Tribolium castaneum: one gene and its partners. The main gene of each other region encodes a partner of the protein of the gene in region 2 in a complex. Links are inferred from orthologs where the notes say so. Each region holds a gene or a part of one and is shown on either strand. Other genes may lie near its edges.

The links.
Region 1: Nup214 (region 2) and Nup75 share a complex: the UniProt entries of both Drosophila melanogaster proteins name them as parts of the nuclear pore complex. The link is inferred for Tribolium castaneum from reciprocal best matches to the Drosophila melanogaster genes Nup214 and Nup75.
Region 3: Nup214 (region 2) and Nup107 share a complex: the UniProt entries of both Drosophila melanogaster proteins name them as parts of the nuclear pore complex. The link is inferred for Tribolium castaneum from reciprocal best matches to the Drosophila melanogaster genes Nup214 and Nup107.
Region 4: Nup214 (region 2) and PCID2 share a complex: the UniProt entries of both Drosophila melanogaster proteins name them as parts of the nuclear pore complex. The link is inferred for Tribolium castaneum from reciprocal best matches to the Drosophila melanogaster genes Nup214 and PCID2.

Annotation. Positions count from the first base shown.
Region 1 is NC_087399.1:876,565-880,880, reverse strand, and holds Nup75 (nuclear pore complex protein Nup85), read right to left. Parts: upstream 2,802-4,316; 5' UTR 2,693-2,801; coding exon 2,669-2,692; exon of another isoform or gene 2,624-2,668; coding exon 2,182-2,623; exon of another isoform or gene 1,962-2,181; coding exon 1,708-1,961; exon of another isoform or gene 1,662-1,707; coding exon 1,539-1,661; exon of another isoform or gene 1,485-1,538; coding exon 1,266-1,484; exon of another isoform or gene 1,133-1,265; coding exon 1,017-1,132; exon of another isoform or gene 967-1,016; coding exon 430-966; exon of another isoform or gene 377-429; coding exon 172-376; 3' UTR 122-171; downstream 1-121. Other genes in the region: oxidized purine nucleoside triphosphate hydrolase, read left to right, coding at 1-116; uncharacterized protein LOC660898, read right to left, coding at 2,804-2,891, 2,937-3,373, 3,423-3,666, 3,887-4,251; mRpS23 (small ribosomal subunit protein mS23), read right to left, coding at 4,282-4,316. UniProt on the Drosophila melanogaster protein: Component of the nuclear pore complex (NPC) that seems to be required for NPC assembly and maintenance. Required for nuclear import of phosphorylated Mad via importin msk.
Region 2 is NC_087398.1:6,201,336-6,204,971, forward strand, and holds the end of Nup214 (nuclear pore complex protein Nup214), read right to left. Parts: coding exon 639-3,636; intron 591-638; coding exon 563-590; 3' UTR 501-562; downstream 1-500. Other genes in the region: ribosome biogenesis protein WDR12 homolog, read left to right, coding at 1-487. UniProt on the Drosophila melanogaster protein: Part of the nuclear pore complex. Serves as a docking site in the receptor-mediated import of substrates across the nuclear pore complex including emb, RanGAP and phosphorylated Mad. Protects mbo/Nup88 from proteasomal degradation at the nuclear pore.
Region 3 is NC_087395.1:26,509,789-26,514,102, reverse strand, and holds the start of Nup107 (nuclear pore complex protein Nup107), read right to left. Parts: upstream 2,802-4,314; 5' UTR 2,712-2,801; coding exon 1,848-2,711; intron 1,798-1,847; coding exon 1,636-1,797; intron 1,396-1,635; coding exon 935-1,395; intron 659-934; coding exon 1-658. Other genes in the region: sodium-coupled monocarboxylate transporter 1, read right to left, coding at 4,118-4,314. UniProt on the Drosophila melanogaster protein: Plays a role in nuclear pore complex (NPC) assembly and maintenance. Required for nuclear import of Mad. Mediates the association between the nuclear pore complex and a subset of active chromatin regions adjacent to lamin-associated domains.
Region 4 is NC_087397.1:8,459,987-8,463,199, forward strand, and holds PCID2 (PCI domain-containing protein 2), read right to left. Parts: upstream 2,021-3,213; 5' UTR 1,866-2,020; intron 1,800-1,865; 5' UTR 1,788-1,799; coding exon 591-1,787; 3' UTR 502-590; downstream 1-501. UniProt on the Drosophila melanogaster protein: Required for the export of nuclear mRNAs and involved in mRNA trafficking in the cytoplasm.

The sequences.
Region 1 (4,316 bases), on a different chromosome or scaffold from region 2:
TGTTAAAAGAGAAATTTTTTGCGGCCAGAGTGACTTACAGTGACCCTGACACAATCACTGATACGAAAATTGAGGAATTTGAGGACTTGGCGAGTGCACTTAAAGTGGCCAATTAAAAGTATTATTGTTTACGTAAAGTATTTATTTAATAAAAAATTGTTAAAAAAATCATCATTTTAATTGGGCTTCGTGTACCAAAGCTCGTGCTAAATTCCGGGTCGCTGACAGTCTCAAGATCGGAAGTTTGTCTTTCAAGTCTTTGGTTTTTTCCTGCTCTTCCAAACACTGCATAATGATGTAGGTATCAGTTGAGGAAAAAACCATTTTTTCGCACTCAAGTAGCGGTATTGCGTCAGTTAATAGAATACTCCAGAAACTACAAGATAATCTTTAGATAAAAAACCGCAATTTTAAGTGTTTTCCCCTTACAAGTTTGGTATTATTTTCGACTCAAGTAACGAAACGAGCAAATTGGCGGCTTCTTTGTACTCGTTCGCTTGATATAACTTCTGGAATTCGTAATATTTGCCTAAAAACATCAACCTATCGCTTGCCAAAATACACGATCCGAGATTATCCAAAAGATCAATACTGTTCAAATCGCCACTTTCGGCATACTCTCGCAGAAATTTGTTCGATAAAAACGACACAAAAGTGCCGTCTTGTGATTTGAGGGCCCAGGCGAGGGCGTGTCCCAGACGCCCCCGGTTTTTACAAGCCATTCCTTGCACTTTACAAATACTTTGTGCCGTTTCGGTTAAATTCCGGTTCAGAGCCTCTCTCACAATTTTCTCAGCCCGCATTTCGGAATTTAGAGGCAGTCTTGCAAGTAGTAATTTTGTGACTTCAGGGCCATCGCTGGGACAGTGGTCCAAGTAGCTTAAACCGACCTGCCATAGTGACTTATGGCCCATTAAAAGCGAGCCATAATCGATTAAAAATGACTCGCGCAATTTATCAGGGTGGCTGAAATAATAATTGTAAAATAAACGGTTTAAAAAAAATCGGGGACTCACAAATTTTCAATAGTTTCGATAGTTGTGTCGCTTAGACGGCCTGAATGGTAAAGTAGGTCGGTTAAGTGGCTCACAAACCAGCCACTGTCTGTCATATTTTGGATTTCTTTAATCACCTGGCAAAGAAATGTTAGAATTTATGTGTACATTTGCAAAAAAGTGTAAAACTAAAAGTATAGCCGAAAAATACAGGATTATTCAAAAGTCTCAGTTTTATTTAATAACTTAACAGAGGTGGCGCCATATTACCTGTAAAATATCAAACTCCATTGCTGCCAACAACATCCTATCCAAATGCTTAATTCTATTCCCTATGGACATTTTCGTGATACACTGTTTGGCAAACTGTCCCAACTCAAACGATTTAACAGTAGGTTGGGTAAAAAATAACCACGCGGCTAACATTTCATACCACGTCTCGCAATACTGCTGTATTTCCCCCCATGCAATTTCGTTACCAACCGTAAGCTACAAAAAATCTTATAAAGAAAACTACCAACTCAAACACACTTAAAACAAAACCTTCATAATCAAATTGAGATTATAACAAGAAATAAACATTTTCGCATCAATTTTCGATTGAACATCCACGACCCAATGATTCCATTGTAGATTAAATTCAGCGATTGAAGTCCCACTAAACATCTAAAGTCGGCCATGAACACCTGTCAATTTCTCCCAGCCTACTTACGTTATAAACCGGCATTGCTCTCAGACACTGATCCACAATTCTGAAAGGTTGTGACTCAGCTTCTGAGTGTAATTTAAGTAGGGCCCTAACGACCTTGACCCGCCCTTGTAATAGTGACCCAATGACAGTTTCCCAATAGTCAGGGTGTGACTCCAAACCACCCAAATCCCCAGCCAACATACTTGCCGCATTTCGGTCATATTTCGGAAAATGAAACCGAATCCAGTCCAGTAAGTGGGGCAAAACAATGTTGCCTAAAACCCCAACTGTTTGGCAAAAATCCCCAAATTTTGTGTCACTACAGAGGTCTATAACTTAGGAGGAAACGATGTACGAAATTACCGGATTTTCTGAACCTAAAAAAGTCCGGAATTTTTTTTAAATATAGTTAACGATAAAACTACCGAGTTCAGGACGTTTTATTTGTACGTCGTTTCGCATCCTAGCTTTTAGATATCCGTGTCACTAACCCACCTGGGACCGCATCAACAAATAAGATTTCACACAAGTGCCAAATACACTCAACTGAGTAAAAAATCGTAATGTAATTTTGCAATTCTTCGCGATAATCGCCATCGGCTCGCATCACCTCGTCTTGCAAATTCTCCAAACAGGCCCTTATTATGGACCTGTACTGCCGGCTAAGTTTCAATAATTCGGCCTTGTGGTCGCCCTCAGTGGCTACAAGGGCTTGAAGGGTTAGAAACGTCCCGTTGGCCTCATTTACCAATTTGCGTAAAATTGGTTTGAAGAGAATAATGTCGGGGCGCAGCTGAAACACAGAGGCGTCCGAGGGGGCAAAGTGACTCGGTTTATCAACTTTTGGTGTTTTCTGGTGGCCGAAAACACCGAATTCGTTGACGGAAAGCCACGAAGCCGCCACTCCAGCACGTCGGCATAACTCATTTGGAATAACCTACAAGTTATTATGACCTAACCTCAAAAATTGATCGCTGCTTACGAAAGTTTTGGCGGTATTGTCCATTAATACGGGTCGGGAAGCGTTAAATAACACGAAATTTTGCGCCTTTTCATTCAAAAAAACCGTATTTTTTTCGAATTTTGTTTGAGGAGAGCGGTTAGCCGGGTCGGTAATTTAGAAATCTGTTCGGTTACTAGGGTTACTTTCGTTTTGGGTTGGTAGCGAGAACGGTAACGGTAGGGATTTAACTTCGCCGTCAATCCTGTGGGCGGGTATTTTGAATTTGTTATATTGGGGTGATACTCACGTTGAGGCCTTCTCCTGGTGCGAGTGTGACGTTGAGCGCGATTCTGTCGGTTTCTTGCGTACGAAAAATCGCATAATGAAGTCTTTTTCTTTGAGCGTTTGAGTGTCAATGCTCCTAATTTCTGCCTCTCTGGCTTCCTGCATGCGGGCTTGATCTGCGAGGAGCTTGTCAATTAGATCCTTAATTTGGCCTCTGGAATGTTCAATTCTGGAGGTCCACTGTTTCATTAAACGGTAGTTTTCCCTTGCTTTGTTGCTCCGATCGTTTACTTTCACACTAGTCATGTCCCGGAGCATCGTATGGCGAACACTTTGACTTTCGAAATATCGCACAATGTAATTTGAAAGGGTGCTTAAGTAAAGCATCAAGTGGTTTATGTTCTCGTCAGTGCTTACTTTATTTTTTATCAAATAATTGACAATAAACCAGTCCACTAACTGCAAGTCGTATTTTGCCAAAACAAGTTAGAGAATTATCGGGACTTACCCGAAATTCAGTCACTGTGATTCCCTTAAGTGCGTGGCTAACTGCAATTTGTTTGATTAAATCGAGCGCTTGTTCGATGCGTCTCTGTTTGAGATAAGTTAAAACCATTTCATGAACGTGAAGTAACGAGACGAAATGAGTGATCATTCGTCTTTGGATAGTATATGTGTCTGTTTGCTGATTCGGGTTCCGGGCACTTGCAGCCCCAAACTTTTCTACCACTTTATCAGGCATTTTCAATGTCCTGCCAAAAAATAGAAAATAACCCGGCGCATCCACCATTTTTCAAATTCAAATAAGTGTTTAAATACGTTCTGGAGTAAGCTAGTGTTGTAAAAAAAACATATGATACGTAAAATGAGTCGCTGAATTCACTGGAATAAACCGTTTTGTTCTACGAATTTTAGTTTTTGAGTTATGAATTTTTTGAATAGGCAAAAAAATTAAATTAAATAAAACAGTACCCTGCGTGGATGTCGCTAACAATTTGCCCCAAATGCCTCTTCAGAAGCGACAGCACTAACTGTGAGGTTCTGATGGTCAAGGGGGCCAAATGATCAGCTGTGAAAGTCTGAGACTTGATGTACATACTCTGCAGTTCGCCGTAATGAATCAATTCACTGTCACACTTCGACACCGAAGGCTTTTCAGACAAATGAAACGAGGGGGAAGTACATATCGAAGGATAGGTGATTGATGGTGGAATAGTTTCGATACTCCCGGTATAAAAAATATGGGAATAAGTGCTTTGTTCGCTACCTCGTGGACGACTCAATTTTTTACCCATTTTAATTTGACGTAAAATAAAACAAAGTGTCACAAAAAACATTTATTAAGACTAGATTTTAACAAAAAAATACTACGATTTAAATATATCAACAACATTGATTTTTA
Region 2 (3,636 bases):
AGAAACCATAACTTCGACTTCCTGGATTGACAACCATGTAATTTGCACTGTGTCAATGGACCATACGATTAAATTTTGGGATGCTGAGTTGTGTGGTATCAAGAATGAAATAGTTGGCCAGAAGGCATTTTTGGATTCTTCTTGGTCTTCCCTATCTAACACATTATTAGCATGTTCAGCTGATAGACATATTCGGTTGTACGACCCAAGGTCTTCAGAGGGTTCAGTGGTCAAGACTACTTTCACCTCACATACGCTATGGGTCAGTTCAATTGAATGGTCAAAATACGATGAACACCTTTTTATGTCGGGAGGATACGATTCTGGTGTCAAATTGTGGGATTCCAGAAGCCCTAAAGCCCCACTTTATAATTTAGAGGGACACCAAGGGCAAGTCCTAGCTGTAGATTGGTCCAATAACAAGTATCTGGTCTCTGGAGGGTGCGACAATAGTGTACACATTTTCAGAAATAATTATGTGTTTTAAGTGAAAAATAAAATTAATTTTAAAAAAATTTATTAGTTTCAGCTTACAAAATTTAACGTAAAACATTTTCCTTCATTAACGCCAACTGGAGAATGAGGAGCTCCTACAAAAAAAAATGTACTATGCCATTTATCAGTTTAAAAATTCTTACCCAGAGAACGGCGCACTCTGCGCTGGGGCGTTGGCAGCTTGCTGTGCCAAATTCCCAAACCCTACTGTTGGTTGATTGGCTAAATTACCAAAAGCTGTGTTCTGGGTACTAGCAGCTGCCCCAAACCCGGGGCTTGAGGACCCAAACACCTTTGAAGTATTCCCAAAAGCCGGTGGGCTGCCAAACGCCGGCGCTCCTCCAAAACTAGGCGAACTCCCGAAACTGGGCGATCCCCCGAAAACGGGAGCTGCCCCAAATCCCGGTTTTTGGAAGCTCTGACCTGCCCCAAACCCGGTTTGTCCCACAGTTCCACTCCCACCACTGAAGGGCCCCGCAGGTTGCTGACCGAAACTGCTACCCCCGAAGAAGGACGACTGTTGGCCGAAGGAAGATTGGTTCCCGAAACCGGTACCAAAACTCTGGGACGTGTTACTGAAGAGCGATCCACCACTGGAACCGAAAACTGAGCCACTTGACGACACTGGAGAGGCTCCGAAAACGCTCTTATCGCCCCCGAAGGGGTTCGCAGGTGCACCGAAACCCGAACTTGCAGTCGTTGAAACATTGAGACTTCCGAAACCGAACGTTCCGGAACTGGTATTGGTGCCGAAAGTACCGGACTGAGTAGTGGCAGGGGCGAAGACATTCGACGAACCGAAAATAGAGGGAGTCGTAGATGCAGGTGCCCCAAAAAGTGAGGGGGCAGTGGACGCAGGTGCTCCGAATAAAGATCCACTAGTACCGAAAGTACCTCCGCTTGTAGTCGTTGCCCCAAAAATGCTCCCAGAGCTCGTAGTTGGTGCATTTCCAAAGACGGAACCACCCGTTTGGCCAAAAGCGGGTGCTGAACCCCCGAAAACGTTCGTACTACCTGACGAACCAAAAACAGAACCTTGACCAAAAGCGCTTGTATTTTTGCTCCCATCGAAGGGCTGGCTTTGGCCGAACGTTGAAGAAGTTGTGGTACCACCAAATATCGACGGCTGTGTGCTTCCGAATATTGACGGTTGAGTCGCATTTGGTTTTGCATTAAATAGGGAAGGCTTTTGGGCGGCGTCTCCAAAAAGACCGAACCCTTGAGATTGAGTTGTCGTTGTAGGACTGGCAAAAGTCGACTGAGTGGTACCAACAGGAGTTCCAAAAACTGGGGTAGTGGGAGAGCCGAAAATTGACGATTGTGTCGTAGCTGCAGCCCCAAATGAACTAGTAGACAAAGGGGTAGCACCACCAAAAATCTGAGTGGTAGGTGTGGTAGCGCCAAAAACAGTCGCTGGTGAAGTACTTGACGAAACATTGCCAAAAATTGACGGCTTTGATACATTACTATCGGTACTTGCAACAGTACCAAAGACAGAAGCTGTAGTGGAGGATGATGGCAGGGCTCCGAAGATGGATGGTTTCGAAACGTTTGAATCCGTGGTTGCAACAGCCCCAAAAACACTTGATGCAGTTGTGCTGCTAAATATTGACGGTTTCGAGGCGCTAACTTCGGTACCACCAAAGAGTGGTTTAGTTGAAAGAGCACCACCGAAAAACCCAGTTGTGGGCGGAGCTGAAGATATGGTTGGAGACTGAGTAGTACTACTAACAATAGAGCCGAAAATTGATGAAGTTGTCGCTGGCGAAGAGAAAATTGATGAAGTTGTTGCTGGCGAAGAGAAAATTGATGACGTTGTTGCTGGCGAAGAGAAAATTGTTGAAGTTGTTGCTGGCGAAGCGAAAATTGATGGAGTTGTTGCTGGCGTTGAGAAAATACTAGTTGAAGATGGGACTGTTGTAACAACAGGAGCTGTAACACCGGTAGTTGTAACAGCTGTAGTAACAACAGTGGCCGCACTGGTGGCGATTTTCGGTGTTGTAGTTACGGCAGGAACAGCCGGTGAGGGAAAAATAGATGATTTAAGTGCCCCCAATGAAAACGGTGAGGACTGAGTTGATGGAGTGCCACTGGTAGTACTAACTGAATTTGGAGCTGTTACACCAAAAGTGGGTTGGATTGAGACTGGACTCGAGACAGCTTGCGTTGTTTTAGGACTGGTTGTTACAGAAGTCGTAGGGAAAATTGAACGTTGGGTACTGCTAGCAACGGGGGAAACGGCAGAAACCACCACATTTGGAGTACTTGTTGCAGAAGTAACTACTGGCTTTGTAGAAAACGTAAAGGTTTTCGATGTCGCAGCTTCGGTCACTTTTTGTGTTGCTGCACCGAAAATACTTGAAGTATTAGTAGCGCCACCGAACGAAAACTGGGTGGAGGTTGGTGCTGTGGTGGTAGCAATACCAAATGACGGAGTAGAAGTTTTCGTAAAAATCGTACTTTCCGCGGTAGTACTAACACTCGTGGATAGATTAAAAACAGAAATAGACGTACTGGGTTTGGTAGTCGCTGCACTACTTGTTAAAATGGGCGCCGCACTAGTAGTTTGTAAACTGAACGAAAATGTAGTTTTAGGCAAAGATGTGGCAAAGAGGTTTGTCCCCACCTTTGGGGTACTGCTAGTAACTGGTTGGGAAGACAAATTAACAAACGATTTAGGTGCTTGCATGGTTGCAGTACTAGTCACTGCCACAAAACTGGGACTTGTTTTAATAATAGACGCTGTCACGGCTGTAGTTGCAGCCATGAAGGTGGGTTTGTAAGTATTTGCTGATGCAGAAACCGAAGTTGAGACAAAAGCCGAATTTGGAGACCCAGCAATCACGTTTTTAGTCAAAGGCGTGAAAGTTTTCTCGGGCAAATTTGTGAAATTTTTAGCCTCGAATTTAAGGGCTAAATTTTGTAAACCTTCGATTGGAGTTGCCGTGGAGTCGAATTTGAGCACAGTGGGTTTGGGAGTTGACTGCGCAAAATCGAGAACCCGAGGTGCAACTGAAGTTTTTTCGGGAAGCCGACTAAGTTGTTTTGGCGGAGTTTGGATTACGGAACTGGCCAATTGAGGCTTCACGAATGAAATATGTGGATATTCTCTTTTTTGGAGAAAAGTCCGCAAATCTTGGA
Region 3 (4,314 bases), on a different chromosome or scaffold from region 2:
ATGCGATGTCGTCAATTTCCACCGTTCCGCTTCGGCATTAAACTGCGAGACTTTATGATTATGAGCAACTTTTTCAGTAAATTGTGCATTTTCGGGCAGTTCAGGTGGTGGCATCGGCTTATTCCTATACTGTCTAAACCACTCGTTAAACGCCTCATGTGCATCCAAATACGCTTTATAACTCAAATAATTCTTAACAATCTGATGAATCTGCTCTTCGCTGCGTATCTTCTCTATAGAATCGTAAGGAATTTTATTGATTGCCAATTGGGCTGCTTCTAATTTGCCCAAAATCAGAAATTTGAAAATAATAGAATTGGTTTGAGCCAATGCTTCGGCTCGTTGCTCCTCGTAAAACATCAGCCAATCAATAGCGGAGATTTTGAGTTCGTCGATTTCGGTGATTTTACCTTGGAGATTACCGGGAAGTTCGGATTCAGACGGTCGGCTTGTTATAATTTCGACGATTTGTTGCGTTATAGCAAATACGTCCAAACTGAAATCTTCAGCGTAAGTAAGGGCGTTTTTGCGTTGCTCAGTCGAAAGCAGTTTTTCGCAGTGTTTGGCGTAAAGTTGGATTTGTTTGGATTTTCCCAGCTTGCTCACGTAGAAGGCCACAAGCTGGGTTTCGTTCATTTCGCTCAAACGCTCGATATATCTAATTAAACAAATGATATTAAAACACAAGCAACGCAGCGGTGAGTAGCAAACACTTTATGTTTTTTTATAGAAGCTCGAAGTCAAATAAAACAAAAAATAATACCGTAGCTATAAAAAAGTGGTAAAAATATTAAAAGCAATAATTTAGTTCTGACGAGATTATGGTCAACATTAAGAACATAAAATACACTAGACACAAATTTTTTTATAGTCACCATACCGGGAGACTAAAGCGCCCGGCCTTAAGTCGAGTTATACAACCAAGAAAACTTACGTTTCGACGATTTTTTCACACGTTTTTCTATGAGTGGAGTCTCCGACGCTTTCAAAAAACAAAACTAAGTGAGCATAAAATCGAAGAGATTGTGTCGTAACACTTAGATCTTCACTCCACTGATCTAGGAGGCGTATCAGTGTGGGAATTTCGTCTAAAATGACAAGTTTCTGAATTACATGATCAATTTCATGCGCTTCTTTTGCAATGTCAATATTTTTCGAGGCTTCCAAAATTGTAAAAATTTCACTTAATGATTTCTTTTGTTCCCAATATTCTTCAGGTAGTGGTATGTAGTTTTTAATGATTGAGTCGCGAATTTCCGATTCAACACGAATATCGACCATGGTTCGCATGTAGGCCCACAGGTGGTCCTCCCATGTGGTACAAACGGGCAAAATGCCCTCCAAGAAACCACAAAGACTACCAATGGCGGCTTTTTCATAAATGTTCAAGTTTGACTGAAATTTTTTAGTAGTTTTTTCAAATTTATAAAACAGCCTCCTTGATAGATACGAAACTTCGTCTTCAGTCCTAAATTTGGTTAATTATTTTCCAGAAATTTTAAATAAATAAACATAAAATAAATACATGTTTTACAACTGCCAAAGTGACATCGGTTTATCTAGTAACAATGGTATCAAAAAAAAAGATAGCGAAGTTCCCGAACTGTCAAAGAGGCTGTGGAACGAAAAACTTACCCTATGACAATAATCTAATGCGCAAGATTTCCACAAATCCCGCCTTTGGTTCCCTTCTACGTCTTTATACTCTTCAAGACTTGTTTCCAGGTTGGGATTATGAAAAAGCTTCCAGCCTTCTAACATCGCAGCGCGCCATGGATAACCACTGTTGTAACATAACTGAAATTTAATTATTGAATAAATAATAAAAGGCTGAAAACAGCACAAACTTCCTGGGCGCCCTCAAGGTTGCCGCACCTAATTTCCATAAAAATTCTCTGACATAGTTTTTTGTCATTGTCGTAATCCAAGTGGTGCAGCGATAAGCGCTGAAACTGTGGCGCATCTGGATGTATGTTCTTGATAATATCCACATTACTCCCAATTGCAATAGCATCAGGTGCTAGCAATTGATGCAAAGTGTGTTCCCATCCATACGTCCAGTCTGAGTGCATTAAAATGGGGTCCCCCTTCTCCAGAGCGTTCCTCTCGAGCCAATCGATCACCAACTGGCTTTCCCTAACCAAATTCTCTCGTTTGAACAGTTCGCACACACAGTTCTTTTCACTGCTCCCGAAATCCTCCTCAAACCCTTCCTTACTGTGGTTCTGGGCCTGGATCCGATCCTGGTACAGGACATACAGCAGTCTCCAATTATTCCGCTCATTTTCGAGCCATTTCTCTTCGGCTAATTCACTAGTGGCCACTTTGGCTTTCAGTGACTTAACCACCGCCAAAGCGTCACTACAACACCTCGCCAAGTCTTCGGCCACGTCCAGGATATCAAGGCCTCCGGTGGACCCCTGCAGGATATCCGCAAACTCTGTATATAAATTATTAACAGTGTTTTTCCATGGAGTTCCTGCTTGGATCACCGACCCGGTGACCGTTTTGTCATCATCGACAAATAAAGACAAGGTGTTTTGATAAACACTTCCATATTCCAGGCCGGTTAAGTCTTCGGGGTTTATTGTAAAGCTGAGGTTAGGTTTTTCACGCTTTGGAGTTGCGGTCGAGACCTTAAATAGCCCTTTTGTGGGGGTCTGGAGAGCGTCTTCGAGAAGACGCACCGACCGTTCCAAATCATTATCCATTTTTAATAAAAAACACACACAAAAAGCCGTTGCATAACCTCAAAAAACAAGTCTAGCGTTGCCTCAGAGCGTTGCAAAGTCCCTAGATTCAGGTTGGTAACAGTTTTTCTTTTCCTCGATCGTCATTTGTTTCAAATTATCGCGTCTGTTTGTGTTTATCGTGTTTTTTGTTCAAATTGAAGGAAAATTGGTGAAAAAAGTGTTGAATTACGTAACTTAATTAAGTTCAATTTATAAATTGTGGTAGGAAACACCGGTTTTTTTCAAAAATTTGTAAATCATGTGTGAATACTGAATTTGGAAAAATGATGTTACTTAGTGTTAAGTGTAATTTTTACATAATTTGGTGATTCCAGTGACAAAGTAAGGTAAGGTGCATGTTTTTTTAACAAAATTTAACATTATAGCACATTATTGGTACTATTTTCGGAAATTCAGTGAATTTGGTTGGCAACACTTTTTCCATTATCGCGTCTCTCGTGTGTGCCCGGATCTTTTTTGTCTACATTTATGAAAAATTTGTGAAAAAGTTACCTTAATTACGTTTTTTTTATAAATTGTGGAAAAAAAACACCAGTTTTTCCCCGGATATTCCTAAATTCAGTTACTGTGACAATCAGGATTTGGAAGAATGAAGTGTTAAGTGTTAGTTTAGAAGTTCAGTGTTAATTTGGAAGTTTCAAGCACAAAGTAAGGTAACTTGCATGTTTTTCAACAAAATATTAGATTATTGCACATTATTGTGGGCATTATTTTTGGAAATTGGTGAAAAAGCAAGTTTTCTTGAAAACTTGTAAAAAACATCACTTTCCAAATATTTGTCAATTCATTTGTGGTTAGGAAAAGTACATTTTAAGCACAAAGTGAGGTAAATTGTACGCTTTTCAACAAAAATTAGATTACTGCACATTAGTGGTATGTATTTGTATTTTCGGAAATTCATTGACTTAAGATTCTGGAAATATTGGGCGACTTTTCAGTACTTGGAGCGTTTTTTTTTGTCAATAACTTCGGTTGTAGGCATTTAAAGGAGGCAAAAATCCACAAAATTTTTTTTATTTATATTATATTTTCGTTGGTAGCTTAAACTCTTTGAACAAACACTACGCTTATTATTAATTAAATATTATTGTACTAAAATGTTGTAATAAATACTCGTTGTTAGCACTAGTCTAAGCTTACAAAAGAAAATAAATATTTCAACACGTACGCGTATCAAGTTGTACAATCTTATTCAATAATAACAATGTAATAAGGTATAAAAATAGTTAAGTAGTCTTTGCATAATTCAACAATCGAACACTTGTATCTTATCAGCTAGAGATCACAGATGTTGCCAAATAAAAGGCACTAAAAACACGAGTCCGTGTCCATTTCTCACATCCATCTCTAGGAAGAAAGAAAAATCATAATTTGGTTCTGTACACTTCCATTTGTACGTCTTGAGTGAAAGCGGGATTCGCATTTCCGCTCTTTTTATCCATACTGGTGGCACTTGGCGAATGGTTCATCGATTCATTTCTCCGTGTTTTATGTTTGATGGTTTTCTCTGCGTAGCGTCGTTTTTTGCCAGGGAAAAAGTTGGCCATCTTGCGAGCGATGG
Region 4 (3,213 bases), on a different chromosome or scaffold from region 2:
ATAATAAAAAACTAAATAGTTTTTGACTATGATAAAATTTCCATATAAAATGTATGAGTTTAATTTTCGGGTAACAAAGTTACCTATGGGAAAATAAATCCTTTTGTGCAAAATTTCGCAATATGTAATATAATATTTACAGTACATTTAAAGGATGTATTCGGTATTAACTTCGTATCTATTATGTAAAGCTTAAACGAATATTTTTTACCTATATGGGCATAATCATTAGGTGATTTAATATGCATTATTGATTTTCAAAACGATTCGTATCGAGATTAAATCTGAGCAATTTAAAAAAAAACAACTGTAGTTGTGACCTCTTCGAATAACAAAAGCAATTTTTAATAAAATAAAAATTCCATAAACATTTTTAATGCGGTTTTTATTATGCATACAACATTTAGCTTTTTTCTTATGACAGCAGGGTCGCTTAGTCACTTCGCAGTATAGAGATTTATAGACGTTACGTTTATGCTTTAATAAAACACAAAAAACGGGTAGTTTTAACAGTTTATTTCATATGCAATTACAAAATAGTTACAATGCAGGTAGAGAACGACGAATTATACAAACTTATAAAAACTTAATTATGATAGACTTGTAAGTGGCGGAAATGGATTCTGTTTACTAACAACAACCTTCCTATGTTGATGCGAAATGTATCCTTTAATTTTCCCTTCATAAATAAGATTAGCAACAATACATTCTGTTTCATCCAAATCAACATCAGTCTGTCCTAAATACACTAAAGCAGTCTGCAGTGCTTCAATAGGGATTTGATGCGTATTTAGAATCAAATACACCTTTTTAAACAAATTTCTATATGCTATGATTTTCAGTTTATCAACAATCAGATATATTCCACACTTGATGAAAAAGGTTTCGTGCTTTTCCATAATCTCGTCAAACGCTTTGAGATTACCCTGACATACAGCTTGTACTAAATCCCACAACTGGATGACGTCATACTTCTCCAGAACCTCCTTGCTTGGGATATACCCCAACAACATTTTCACAGGAACTAAGTAAATCAATATAAGCGTTTTGTTCTTCTTACTGAGCTTGTGACAATTTTCAAAAGCATAAGTTAAATACTCATCGGCGACTTTATAATCGCTATCAAACATAGCCTTGCGCCCCACAAAATACCGATATGTGATTTGTTGGCTCAGAGAAAAACTCTCTTTAAACGGTGATGACTCAATCGCTCTGATTAAGGGCTTGCACAAATGTAGCTTATTTATCCGAAAATAAACCTTAAACAATTGATTCACCAAAGCCAACATCCCTATCCTCTTTGTATCCTCCTCTGCTGACCTATTATCAGCAGCACACACCCTGAAACAACCCATCAAGCATTCTGCTGCCTTCTCGAGCATTTCGCCGGGCTTCTCATTAATTCCGCTCCTCTGATTCTCGGCTAATTGCGCCAAAAGACGCAAGTCTAAGCACAAGACATACATAATAGGCAAAGACCAATTCTCCTCCTTTTGCGATTGCAAGATCTTAGTGAAAGTTTGCGTCAAATTGCTCTGAATGTTATAAGCCGATAGATAGTCACTCTGGCTTATGGCAAACAGGCATTTTAGGTGCAAAATCACTAATTCGTCGATAGGGGCGGTCAAAAAACGCTCAACTATTCCCTCAGGACTCTCAATGTGGTAATTGGCATAACCTGCATGTTCGTGGCGAAGAGACAGAAAACTGGCCACTTTTGCACCGTCCTGAGACCGCCAATACCTTTCCACAAGTTGTAGGTAATGAGCAACGGACATAAAAGTCATTTTGCTGAAAAACTAAGGTTAGGGGCGTCAGTTAACCGAAACCGCTTCATTTATAAATGAAATTGAACTGTTACTCACGTGATTTAGGCACAAGTGTTATATTTGTTGCTTCCGTTACGCAAAGAACATTATGTCTTACGAGTTTGACGAAAAAATGTTTGAATAAGCTTGAAAATAAACAAGTCTTTGCAATGGTGATAAAATGGCCGATAGGGAGCGGTGCGATTCATACAAGTAAAATCAATAATAATTTCTGTGACCTAACAAAATTTAAGATATTTGAGCTTAATTCGTGTTATATGTCCCATAGTACTAATAATAGGGATTAAATTAATGCAAATCCTGGAAGTAAAATGCCATAAAAACGAAAACTGTTCGTAGACCAGTTCGCAAGCCGCATGTTTTCTTCCCACACAGAGATGGCGCTCCGAGGAACAGCTTGATGCAACTTGACCGGGAACTTATCCAACTTGATTTTATTAAAAAATTTTTAGGAAATTATAAACACAGTCGTGAAAACGTTTTATTATTCTAGTCAAGGATAAATCATAATTTAAAAATCCATTACACAGGAAAGTAATAACTTCAACAATAATGAATTTAAAGCGCCTAGTAATGGAATTTATGGAAAGAAATTATTTACTTCTTTGCTATTTTAAACTTTAATAATGCTTCACGTGCCAGACCCATAAATCAGTATAATAAGCAATTTAAACGTTAATTGTAGTTTACTTTTAGCTCCTTATGAAACAAAAAAATTAAGTACTGTTTATTAGAAACTAAAGCTACACATTACGAACTTAAAAGTATTTGTTTGTATAGTGCTACTTAAAAAACAAAACCATATTTTACAAAAAAAAACTTATAAGTATAAGTAGGTAGACGACGTTTAAATTACAAACAAGTTATGTTTTAAATGATGACCGTACAAAAGCATATAAAAGGTTTTTATGTTCATCTATAAAATTTAAAAACAAATTTTACAGGGTGTCCCAGCAAAAGTATATTTTTACTGCATGACAAGCTAAATAATTACACAGAATTCCAAATTTGCTTTAAATACTTTTAGTATGCCTTATTATGTACCATAAAAAGTTATTTTTTCTATATCTACATTTTATAATTTTAAAATAAAACAATATAAAAAAGCAATATTCTATATCTTGAATGTCTGTGTGATTAATGATTATGATAGTTTGAGAAATGCAACGTAATTATTAACAACTTAAAAAAGAATCAAAAATAAAGAACTATTTAACAGAATTGACACGTTTACTGAAATATGATTCTGATGTAATTTTTTTAGCTGAATTTAAATCCGAAAGTTTTTTTTTTGATTTGGAATAGCCTTCACTGTAAAAAAGACGTTTATGTAAAAAAATTCAAAAATTAATATAAAGCAAATTTGTGTTCACATCTTCATTTC